3 linked regions of the Nothobranchius furzeri genome follow. The protein of the gene in region 2 purifies or fractionates together with the protein of the main gene of each other region. This does not show direct contact. Links are inferred from orthologs where the notes say so. Each region holds a gene or a part of one and is shown on either strand. Other genes may lie near its edges.

Evidence for each region.
Region 1: the proteins of bud23 (region 2) and trmt112 purify together in Homo sapiens (affinity purification with mass spectrometry; 5 studies listed by BioGRID and IntAct, counting the BioPlex papers as one, with this or other methods). This does not show direct contact. The link is inferred for Nothobranchius furzeri from reciprocal best matches to the Homo sapiens genes BUD23 and TRMT112.
Region 3: the proteins of bud23 (region 2) and ube2o purify together in Homo sapiens (affinity purification with mass spectrometry; 5 studies listed by BioGRID and IntAct, counting the BioPlex papers as one, with this or other methods). This does not show direct contact. The link is inferred for Nothobranchius furzeri from reciprocal best matches to the Homo sapiens genes BUD23 and UBE2O.

The regions. Positions count from the first base shown.
Region 1 is NC_091741.1:88,070,275-88,074,029, reverse strand, and holds the start of trmt112 (multifunctional methyltransferase subunit TRM112-like protein), read left to right. Parts: upstream 1-1,290; 5' UTR 1,291-1,418; coding exon 1,419-1,493; intron 1,494-1,857; coding exon 1,858-1,959; intron 1,960-2,079; coding exon 2,080-2,172; intron 2,173-3,755. UniProt on the Homo sapiens protein: Acts as an activator of both rRNA/tRNA and protein methyltransferases. Together with methyltransferase BUD23, methylates the N(7) position of a guanine in 18S rRNA.
Region 2 is NC_091753.1:42,315,777-42,319,506, reverse strand, and holds the start of bud23 (18S rRNA (guanine-N(7))-methyltransferase), read right to left. Parts: upstream 2,910-3,730; 5' UTR 2,799-2,909; coding exon 2,751-2,798; intron 2,618-2,750; coding exon 2,580-2,617; intron 2,178-2,579; coding exon 2,082-2,177; intron 1,873-2,081; coding exon 1,790-1,872; intron 1,198-1,789; coding exon 1,101-1,197; intron 1,020-1,100; coding exon 923-1,019; intron 840-922; coding exon 789-839; intron 712-788; coding exon 626-711; intron 483-625; coding exon 437-482; intron 361-436; coding exon 299-360; intron 1-298.
Region 3 is NC_091747.1:74,395,310-74,398,964, forward strand, and holds part of ube2o ((E3-independent) E2 ubiquitin-conjugating enzyme), read right to left. Parts: coding exon 3,527-3,655; intron 3,458-3,526; coding exon 3,277-3,457; intron 3,175-3,276; coding exon 3,038-3,174; intron 1,980-3,037; coding exon 1,776-1,979; intron 1,703-1,775; coding exon 1,645-1,702; intron 1,016-1,644; coding exon 241-1,015; coding exon of another isoform or gene 237-240; exon of another isoform or gene 98-236; intron 1-97. UniProt on the Homo sapiens protein: E2/E3 hybrid ubiquitin-protein ligase that displays both E2 and E3 ligase activities and mediates monoubiquitination of target proteins. Negatively regulates TRAF6-mediated NF-kappa-B activation independently of its E2 activity.

The sequences.
Region 1 (3,755 bases), on a different chromosome or scaffold from region 2:
AAAACCACATTGCTCCTCCTGAATCTGAGATTCAACTATCGATCGGACCCTCCTCTCTAGTACCTTGGAGTAGACCTTTCCAGGGAGGCTGAGGAGTGTGAACCCCCTGGCGCCTGACAGTTTGCCAGAACCACTTTGGAGCCGATCGATAGTCTTTGTCCATGGCCTCACCAAACTCCTCCCACGCCCGAGATTTTGCCTCGGCAACTGCCACTGCTGCACCCCGCTTGGCTTGGAGACCCACAGACCAACCACGTTCTGTAGGTCTCCTTCTTCAGCCTGACAGCTCCCCGAACCTCTGGTTCAAAGCTTTCAGCAGCTTTCGGGACACCTCTGTGTTCCACCCGGTTTTACCCAGCGGTCAGATCAGCGTATCTCTGACTCAGAAGCTCTGGTGTTGTGCACAGTTAACTCCGGTTGTAGCTAGGTTGCTACCTCTGTTAGCTTAGCACCCACCTCCACGTTAGCTTTGGGTTAGTTTCAGGTTAGCTTGTAGCTAGTTCGACCGAGTGTCGTTAGTTGAGCCCAGCCTTACAGCCACACCCTCAGCTCCACCTCTCTTCCCTTTTGTGGAATTGTCTGGGCTTGACGGAACCCGTAACACGGTCAAAATGGCGGTGGTGGCAACCTCCCATTTAGCCTCAAAAACGTGTTATTGGAGTCTATGGAAATGAATTGTCCAGTATATATGTCGATGGCCCCAACCCCAGGCCTGGCTCCAGGGTGGGACCCCGGTAACCCTCCGGGCCGGGTACTCCGACTCCTTGATGGTTCATCCATGAAAGATCCTTTGAACCGTTCTTCGTCTCACCCTTCACCTAAGACCAATTTGTCATGGGAGACCCTACGAGGGGTACAAAGTGCCCCAGACAACATAGCTCCTAGGATCATTAGGGCACAAACTCCTCCACCACGATAAGGTGACGGTTCAAGGAGCTTGCAAAAAATCCTTATTGGTGCAATCTACACATCCAAACAGTTAATCAACTTTTAAGTTAGTAATAATTACAAGATGATCGACACAAAAATGTGGATTATTTTAAGTCATCCTTGTAGAGCTTTGGCATCCAATAAACCAAAAATATTAACATTTTCTTGAGCTATATTTACTAAGGTCTTTTAAGATGCTTCAAACCTAATCTTTTGACAGTGGCTACTTCTTCACACATACGAAGGCATAAATTGTACAATAGTTTAAGTTCATATTTAGTTACTATGTGATTTCTAGTGTGTCATTTGTAGTAGATCAACCTAGGAACCAACAGCAGCACATTGGGTTGTCTTCAGGGATCTTTTATGTGGTGCTTCAGCAGTACTTCCGGCCCACATGTAAAACAGTACAGCGTGATTTATCTGCAAATAATACATTATTATTCTGAGTGTTTCTAATATAATCTTGATTAAACACATCTGCGATCATGAAGCTGCTCACACACAACATGCTGACGTCTCACGTAAAGGGAGTCACGAAAGGATACCCGCTGCTCATAAAGGTAAACGGTGAACATCTGAGTAGCATAGCGGCTAATGCTAACACGAGTTTCACCGTGATACCCAGGCCTGTCTTCTTCTAAAAACAATGAAATACATTTGTAGATATCTCTTCTTCGTGTAAACAAACATTACTGAGTTAAAATGTTTTCTGTTAAAACATCCAGGAGGTAAATTTGTGTCATGACTGCATAAGCTTGCACGTAAATCCTAGAAAGTACGTGAAGACATACTTTACATGAAATTAAAGCAAATTAAGGGTTTTGTTTACTTTCAATTGCCGGTTGAGTTGATGTCAGTGGTTGCCTGATGTGACAGCAGAGTCCACCTGACAGCCTGTGTTTTCTCCTAATGCTGTTTGTTCAGGCCACCGAGGTGAAGGTGAACGATGTAGACTTCAACCCTCAGTTTGTCTGCAGGATGATCCCCAAACTGGAGTGGAGTGCTCTGGTCGAGGCTGCAGATCTGGTGAGTAAACAGGTTTCTCCTTAAGCTAACCCACGGAGAGCCTCCACCTGCAGCTGTATGCATGCAGACATTTAATACTACACAGATTTATCATACATTTGGTTTTCTTCCTCTTCATAGTTGGGTCATCGACAAGATCTACCGAGTGAGCTGGTGCCAGACTACGAGAAAAATGAGGACTTCCTGAAGAAAGTGCACAGAGCTCTGTTGGAGGTAAAGGTCTCACTGACCTCCTCGTTCCTGTCACCCACATTTAAAAACATTTCAGTTGCAGAACCTGTTTTTCTCTTTAGTATTGACAAAGCGATACAGCCATAAAGTACTCTTAAACAAACTGTTGGAGTCTGGTTGTGTGTATTCAGTCACACTTAATTTTGGACTCAATGGTGCTTTTGTGTTACTGGCTGCAGAAATCTCAGCAGAGCTCCATTTTTATCCTCTAATGAATTCCATGACTTCAGCGCATCCGTTTGGCTCAGGATGGCGTTATGTGGAGGTCTACCGTTGGGACTGAAGAAGTTTTATACTTTTCTAGCTCACTTTAAACTATATCCTCTGCAAAACATTACACAGACACACTTTTACTCTAATTATGATCTTGGTGCGTTATAACTGGAGGGATTTTCTTAGAGGTTTTGGCTGCAGAAGTTTTCTCTTGTACTGCAAAGTTGTAAACACTTTGTTTTCCACAATGTGGTTCCATTGTTTCACAGATGACTTCCTGTGTGACCAACAGGATGATGGCATGTAAAACCACATTAACATGACCAACAGGATGATGGCATGTAAAACCACATTAACACAGATTAGTGCAACACAAAAATTAGCCTTAAAGGGGACTTATATTTTTCTTAAGTTATAATAGTTCAATAGTTGATACAAAGCATGTTTATGAAGTTCATTTCACTACATTCCTCTAACATAAAGCAATTTCAGCAGTTTTAATTTTGGCAGTTTCAGTACCTTCCAGAATGAGCCGTTTCAGGGTCAGAGTCTTTTTAAGGTGCTGGCGATACCCACCCATCTCCTGCTCCTGCTGCTATAAGCTGAAAAGCTTCAATTCCTGGTAGAGGCTTGGAGGAAAGCCGCTTTGATCTCCAAATCTGTAAATGTGTCCTAAATTAAACATTTTTCCGCTGCCATGGCTTCCCCATTTCTAAAATGCTCTTGGTTCAAAGTTTGCTTAAAGTTGTCACATATTTCCATCAAGTGTTTCTTCATAAATCACAAAGTTTTTGTGGAAACACGCAGTTTTCAGACCCCCGCTTTGTCCGTAGGCAAACTTTATTAATGAGGCCCCTGGTCTTTTTCAGGGATCAGAATGACCCAAACCAACCAACATCCCTCAAACGTGCACCGAAAAGCAATACATATTAGTATCTAGATTAAACTCTATAGCAGCTGTCCCCAACTCCCTTACCCGAGGGTCGGCGTCCAGCACGTTTTACTGTTTCCCTGCTTCAACACACCTGGTTTTAATCAGCAGGTGATTAACGGGTTTCTGCAGAGCCTGATGAGCTGCTGAATTGGTGAATCAAATGTTCTGGATTAGGGAAACAACTAAAACATGCTGGATACCGGCCCTCGGGAAAGGGAGTTGGGGATCACTGCTCGACAGGAAAAACTTTCTAAATGTGTAACCTGCTGGAGACTTTTACATCCCTGCTTGTAGTCTTTTAATGTGGTTGCATTATGTTAGGAAAGAAGCTGTAAACCCACCCACTGGGATCTGAGGTGGCTAAACTTTTGTTTTAGTCTCTTTTATGGTTTCAGCTCAGCCGGAACTAGCACTATAA
Region 2 (3,730 bases):
GGCATACTCTACCACTTGGACACTGAGAAGGTGAACATTTTGTCTTGAAAATAAAAAGATGCAATCAAGGTCAAAATATTTAAATTCTTTCAAATGAAAGGTTGTTAAAATAAAGTTATGTTTAATATCCTAACATTAATAGCAGCGATCCAAAATGAGCTAAATGTACTAAAAATCCCAAGAAGGAAAATAATTGATAAAACCATCAGAAAAACTGTATTAATTCATCATATCCAACCATGTAAACATTATTATTGTTATTATAATTAAGCTCTATGTGCCTGCTGAATAGCTTTACCTTTGTCCTGAATACTGAACCTGGTTTGGAACTGTTCTGCCTGACGTTTCTGACCCCAAACCCTGAAATGAACAAAAACACAAACATTTAAAACTACAATAAATAAAACAAACAAATCACAACTCATGTGCTTCTCACTTTAGGAAGAACTCCGGTCACTCCGGCAAACAGACACAAGAAAAACCTGGAAGAAAATGAGGGAATTATTATAATGAGCCATCCATTGTAAATCAATATGGCCGCCATCGTTTATTACAGCTGCTGCTAATTTCACAGACTATTAAGCCGAAATCGACCTGAGATCATTTCGGAATAAAAGTTTCTGACTTTTTAGCCTTGCTGCTGTTGGGATAATCCACCACCATCCCTCCGCTGAAACCTGCTCTCATGGCCTGAGCTGTGATCAGCTCCAGCTTCAGAGGAGAACGAAAACAAGACATCAGATTCAATCACACAAAGACAAAACGAGGAGAAAGGGAGAATGTTGCACCTGTTCGGAGTTTTCTGGATAAAGCTGAAAAACTGCACGGGACCCCCGTGCCTGAAAGAGAAAAAATATTTAAAAGAGTTGATTATAAAGTAAGAGTTATGGATTATTGTACGTGTGCACAGATAGAATCTCACCAGAGATGAGTAGAGAGTACTAAAGAATGTGTAGAGTCTCCTTGGAGGGCTGTGTGACCTTTTGTCTGCATTACAAAGCCACTGCAGTGCAGAAATACTGACAGGAAAGGGAAAGAATCTAACTTAATAATAAACAAATCCCAACTCCAGCAACACTATTTCAGACCTTGTTCTTCACCTGATGCAGCCGTCAAACGTTCCCGGTCGGAAAGGCATCCCATGGCCCATGTCTCCCAACAGGAGGTCTCCTTCCACTTCTCTGTCCAGAGCCACATCTGGTTAGAAAAAAATATCACATCGTCAGTGATTTACATAAAAACTGTAGGATTAAAGAGTTTTGTATAATATGCATAAAAAGTAAATTTCCTTTATATTTAGAAATAAACAGAAAACAGTGATTCATGTCATTAACGCCTGATTAAAGGTGTTGAATACATTTCTGCTTACGCTAGAAATAACCTGTACTTCTGTGTGTTCACAAGAGCAGAAAATAATTTTATGTACGGTTAAAAAAGTACATTTTATTTATTATACATATCTGGTGGTAAGGTTTCCTTCTTCTACATGGTCAACCTTTAATTAACTCCTGTGGTCAAATCAAAACTTTTAAAAAATATATCTGATACTATAATAAAAAATACAATTCCAGAAAATTATATAGCAAATATAAATATCAGTAAATGCACGGGACTAGAACAGTATTTCAGTATCTCAGTAACTTGAACTAAACAATTTGGTTTGTACACTAAGTTTGTTTTTGCATTAGTTGTTGAAATAAAGCTTTCAACGTATTTCTAGGTATTTTATTGACTTGAGATTTTATATTTTAGGCTGTTTTCCTTTCAGATACAAGATGGTTTAACCAACCCAGCATCGCAGTGCTGATGTCCATTCCCACCCAGTAGTGTCCCTCCTCTGACAGGTGGTCTCCACTCAAACCAGATCCACATCTGAGGGACAGAACAGACCTTCAATCCTGACATTCAGCAAATATAGAATATCGACTAAACAGACGCTAAAGTCAACTGGGCTTAACTGAAAAATGCATTTTTCAATGCAACAAAAACACAACAAACCTCTGAATGAACTAGAGCGAGATCATGGCTTTCTTTTAGTTCTAAATTTAGAGAGACAGAACAACTCAGCATCACCAGCTCACCCAACATCCAGCAGGAAGCAGGGCTGACCCTCCGGCAGGTTTAAGAGCTCCACAGCTCTCTCTGACATCTGGGACTGGATCTCAATCATCCGCGAGCTGAGAGTCAAGAAACACAATCAGATGTTTACACAAACCAAACCTCAGATCACTTATGGCAACTAATCACTAACACTGTGCTGAGTTGATGACAAAAATCCACATACTACATACGTTTAAAATGATTAAATATGTGTCATTATTCTTCTCCTGTGTTTCTCTCCATCCAAACTCACAAAATCACCAGCAGTTGTGATTTCAAAATTCGATAATAAACGTATTAGCTAATTAATCAATCCTCTAAGTGTCCTAAAAATGTTAAATAATGTCAGAATGTAGCTAAAGACAAGAGAACATGCACTAACATATGTAAAATAAGCAAATAATGATAAAATGTAAAGAACTCATCAAGTTTGACATTAAAACACAACAAATGTTACATTACCAAACATGCAGACTTACTTCTGAGAGTATTTCTTTGCCTCATCTTCATTGTAGAACTGCAATAACAACAATCAAATCAATAAGATTTTGAGTTTTGTGTTTTTTCAAACAAAACGAATCTACAGAAACACTGCAGACTTTAGAGATCAACTATTAGAGGTTTAATAAAGAGTTAGACGATAAACTGACCACATCCGGAGGAGCTGAGTGTTCCGGTCGTCGACAGCTGGAAGCCATTTTGCTTCTTTATGTGTAAAAGTAAATAAAACCTACAAATCAAAAGAAACGTGGAAGATGAACATCCCACATGTGAACTGTATCTACGGGTCACGTGATGTTCTTCTTCGTTGAGTTTGAGTATTTTTACTGAAGGTTTGCCACCATCTGCTGGTTGGCACGCAGACTGCATTTTCATATATTTATTTTCAGAAACAAAATTTCAAACATGTACAATGACCGCTTGTTATTTATATTCATAATAGCGGTAAGTAATTTTTGTTTATTGGTTTTTTATGAAAATAATAAATAAAACAACAACAATGTAATTATTACACACACATAAATGTAATAATAATAATTATAAATAATAGTTATTATGATGATGATGATGATTATGATGATGATGATTATTATTATTATTATTATTATTATTATTATTATTATTATTATTATTATTATTATTATTACTATTATTATTATTATTATTATGTGATTTATGTTCCACAGAAGTGCATTTCTGGTCTGATTGTTTTTATGATCACTGTGTCAACCGGCCTCCCCTTTTCATATGTACTTGGGTTAGTTCTTATCTGTATGCAGTGTTTAGCTGTATTAAATTTGTATTGCCTTTGTACTTAACATGAGCTCATGTGTAGTACTTTTCGATTTTTATTAGGATGCATCACTTTCTGTTTTGCTACTTGTACAGCATCACATTATTGTGTTCAGTGCTATGAGCTGCCTTGGTTGGCAGCGGGAAGGTGCTCTATGAATGAATGAATGAATAAATGAACGAACGAACGAACGAATGAATGAATTCGCGTAACCTCGGATATGGTAAATTAAAACTCAAAGTTACTGGACGTTTTTGCATTTTGCTGTGGATAATTAGAATAAAACAAGATATAAAATTCAAGATACTGGTCAAATCAGGAAAAATATAGGAATTT
Region 3 (3,655 bases), on a different chromosome or scaffold from region 2:
GAGAGAGGAGTCAGAATGTTACGGAGGAGGGCAGCAGGAGCAGTAAAGGCGGAGACACGGAGGTGGAGGAAAGGTGTGGGCAGTGCTGGGGCACCGTGCAGCTCGGGGCGGGGTCCAGACTGGAACCCCACCCTGACTAGTGCTGATGGGTCCTCCTCTGTGACTTGAGGCGGGTGAAAAAGGTAGAAGAGAAGGAGGACAGGTCAGGGAGCAGTTAGAAGATGGTGAGGAGGCACTTACTTGTCCACCGTGTGCTCTGGGACGCCAGCGGCCGCCAGAGCGGCTTTGTACTGATGCAGCACGCCGCGGACGCTCTTCACAAACCCTTTGGAGAGCGGGAAGAGCGGGAAGCCGATGTCCGGGTACCCGCTGCCCTCCGGGAGGAAACTCCGGTAACTCTTCCTCCTTTTCTTTGGTCGAACCACTGGCTGGCTCCCCGAGGAGCCCGCCCCCCCCACGCTGGCGGACACGGAACCAGAATCTGACGTCCCAGTGCGGACCACAGAGCCAGCTTTGACCTCACCCCCCAGGGTGAGGTCACCGTCTGAGTTCTGGCTCAGCTCCTCCTGAGGAGCTGTAGTGGTGGACGGACTCAGCCCCGAATCCTCCAGCTCCTCCTCTAGAATACTGCTAACTCCCATCACCGCCTCATCACTGGGCTTACTGGGACTGCTGTGGGCCACAGCCACCAGTCCAGAGCCCGCAGGCTGCTGCTCGTCTTTCAAGTGGTGGCTCCTGGAAGAGGAGTAGGCCGAGTGGCCTCGCTCAGCGGCGTCGTGCAGCTCCAGCCACGCCTCCAGACGGTGCACGAGTCGCCAGCCGCTGGACACAAAGTGCTCCCGGATCTCCTGCTTGAAGACCTCCGCAGGATGCTGGAGGAGCTGCGTCATGGACTGGACCATCTTGATGAGAGCCATCTCGTTGTAGCAGCGACTGTTCTCATAGCCCTCCTGCAGACCCCGGTCGCTGTCGAAGCCGGCTTCGTTGTAGTACGGCTCGTTGACCAGGATCAGACCTGCAGAGGAACCGCCAGAACCACGGGCTCAGAAAAAACCCTAAAACACCTGGAGAACCAGGAAGTGCTGTGTGTGTGTGTGTGTGTGTGTGTGTGTGTGTGTGTGTGTGTGTGTGTGTGTGTGTGTGTGAGAGAGTGTGTGAGAGTGTGTGTGTGTGTGTGAGATAGAGAGAGAGAGAGAGTGAGAGAGTGTGTGAGCGTGAGAGAGAGTGTGTGTGTGAGAGTGAGTGAGTGAGTGAGTGTGACAGTGAAAGAGAGAGTGTGTGTGAGTGGGTGTATGTGTGTGAGAGAAAGAGAGAGAAAGAGAGAGAGAAAGAGAGAGAGAAAGAGAGGAAAAGAGAGAGAGAAAGAGAGAGAGAGAGAAAGAGAAAAGAGAGAGAGAGAAAGAAAGAGAGAGAGAGAGAAAGAAAGAGAGAAAAAGAGAGAGAGAAAGAGAGAAAAAGAGAGAGAGAGAAAGAGAGAGAGAGAGAAAGAGAAAAGAGAGAGAGAGAAAGAAAGAGAGAGAGAGAGAAAGAAAGAGAGAGAGAAAGAGAGAAAAAGAGAGAGAGAGAGAGAGAAAGAGAGAGAAAGAGAAAAGAGAGAAAGAGAGAGAGTGTGTGTGTGCGTGTGTGTGTGTGTGTGTGTCTAACCTTGTATGGAGATGAGGACTTGCAGCAGGCTGGACTTGCTGGTCCACCTCTCAGTCCCCTGTGGACGACAGAACCAGGGAGTTGAACTGGGTTGGGTCCAGTACTGGCTGGGACGGCCCAACAGCACTCACCTTTCCGATCCAGGTTCCCAGCAGGCTGACGCAGACTTTGCCGTTGTCGTACAGGTTGGGATTGAGGCGGCCGCTGCACTGGGACAGGTAGCGGAACAGCGGCGGCACGGCCGGGTAGATGTTGGGCAGCTGGATGTCGAAGAGGAAGAGTCCGTCCTCGTACGGGGTTCTGGTTGGTCCTTTGATCAGAGCTGAAAACAGGTCCTGTGTCACAGGAAGAGCAGAACTCACCCACTTGTTCTTTAGGGGTCAAAAGATGCCGGTGCTGGTGGATCACTGGTTACCCGAGTAGAATCACAAGTGTTTTCTCACACTCTTAACGCCGAGCGGAAGCAGAGCCGGTGCTGATCCAGAAACTATATTTGTGTCATCCTCCAGCTCTACATCTGTAGCTACGGCTGCACCGTCAGGCTGCTTCCTAATCTGGTCTATGAATGTGGTCCAGATGAACAGAAGGTTCTGCTGCATCCTGGTTCCGCCCAAACAACCTAACTGTGGCCAACTACTTTGTTGGTTTGATGAGTCTGAAGAAACAAGTGTGTTGTCATGGCAACACTTCTAAAGCAAACCAAAACAGATCTTTGGTGATTGGACAAAAAAACATCTACGTCATCAGGTGTGTGCATGCGTGTGCGTGTGTGTGTGTGTGTGTGTGCGAATGTGCGTGCGCGCGTGCGTGTGTGTGTGTGAATGTGCGTGCGTGCGTGTGTGTGTGCGTGTGTGCGTGCGTGCGTGTGCATGCGTGCACATGTGTGTGTGTGCATGCGTGCGTGCATGCGTGCGTGCGTGCGTGTGCATGTGTGTGCGTGTGTGTGCGTGCGTGCGGGTGTGTGAATGTGTGTGTGTGTGTGTGTGTGAGCGTGCGTGTGTGTGCGTGCGTGTGTGTGTGCGTGCGTGCGTGTGAGTGTGCGTGCGTGTGTGTGTGCGTGCGTGCGTGCGTGCGTGTGTGAATGTGCATGCGTGTGTGTGCGTGTGAATGTGTGTGTGTGTGCGTGTGTGTGCGAATGTGTGTGTGTGCGTGTGTGAATGTGCGTGCGTGCGTGTGCGTGAGTGAATGTGCGTGCGTGCGTGTGCGTGTGAATGTGTGTGTGTGTGCGTGTGTGTGTGAATGTGTGTGTGTGTGCGTGTGTGTGCGAATGTGTGTGTGTGTGCGTGAGTGAATGTGCGTGCGTGCGTGTGCGTGAGTGAATGTGCGTGCGTGCGTGTGCGTGAGTGAATGTGCGTGCGTGCGTGCGTGTCAGTACGGATCAGATAAAACCCACCATGCGGTCCTCGAAGGTCTTGACCATGATGCCGTCGGGCAGCGACGTTGCCAGCAGAGCCATCTCCTTCCTCACTGTGCTGAAAAACTTCTTGGCCTCTGCCGGCTGAAACTCCATTTTCTTAAAGGAGTGAGTGTCTGTTGGTGAGGAAACGGATGAAAGTGAACTTTACACAGCTGAGCTCTTGTTGATCTGTAGATTAACGGTTTCACACCCGTGTGAGGAACCCGTGACCTCACCTGGAGCCCACTCCAGCACCGAGAACACCTCCCCTTTGGCGCTGGTGAAGGTCACTCCAGGTTTCCCTCCACTCTGTTGGCACAGCACCGGCGTTTCGCTCAGGAACTCACTGGGCCACTCCTGGTTCCCCACCGGCGTCTGTGGCTCCTGCTGGGGTTTCTCCTCCGTGCTCCTCTCTGCCTGAGGAGACGCGGCGGGTCAAACCTCCTCTACTGACGAGGCGGATCATCACAGCAGCGGGACACCTACCTCTGTTCCTGCTCCGCCGCTCCCAGCAGACTCCACAACAGCTTCCATCTTCTCTTCCTCCACAATGGCCACGTTGTCCAGAGTCTTCCTCAGGTTCTCCTGCAGTTTCTTGAGGTCGTCCAGGAAGCG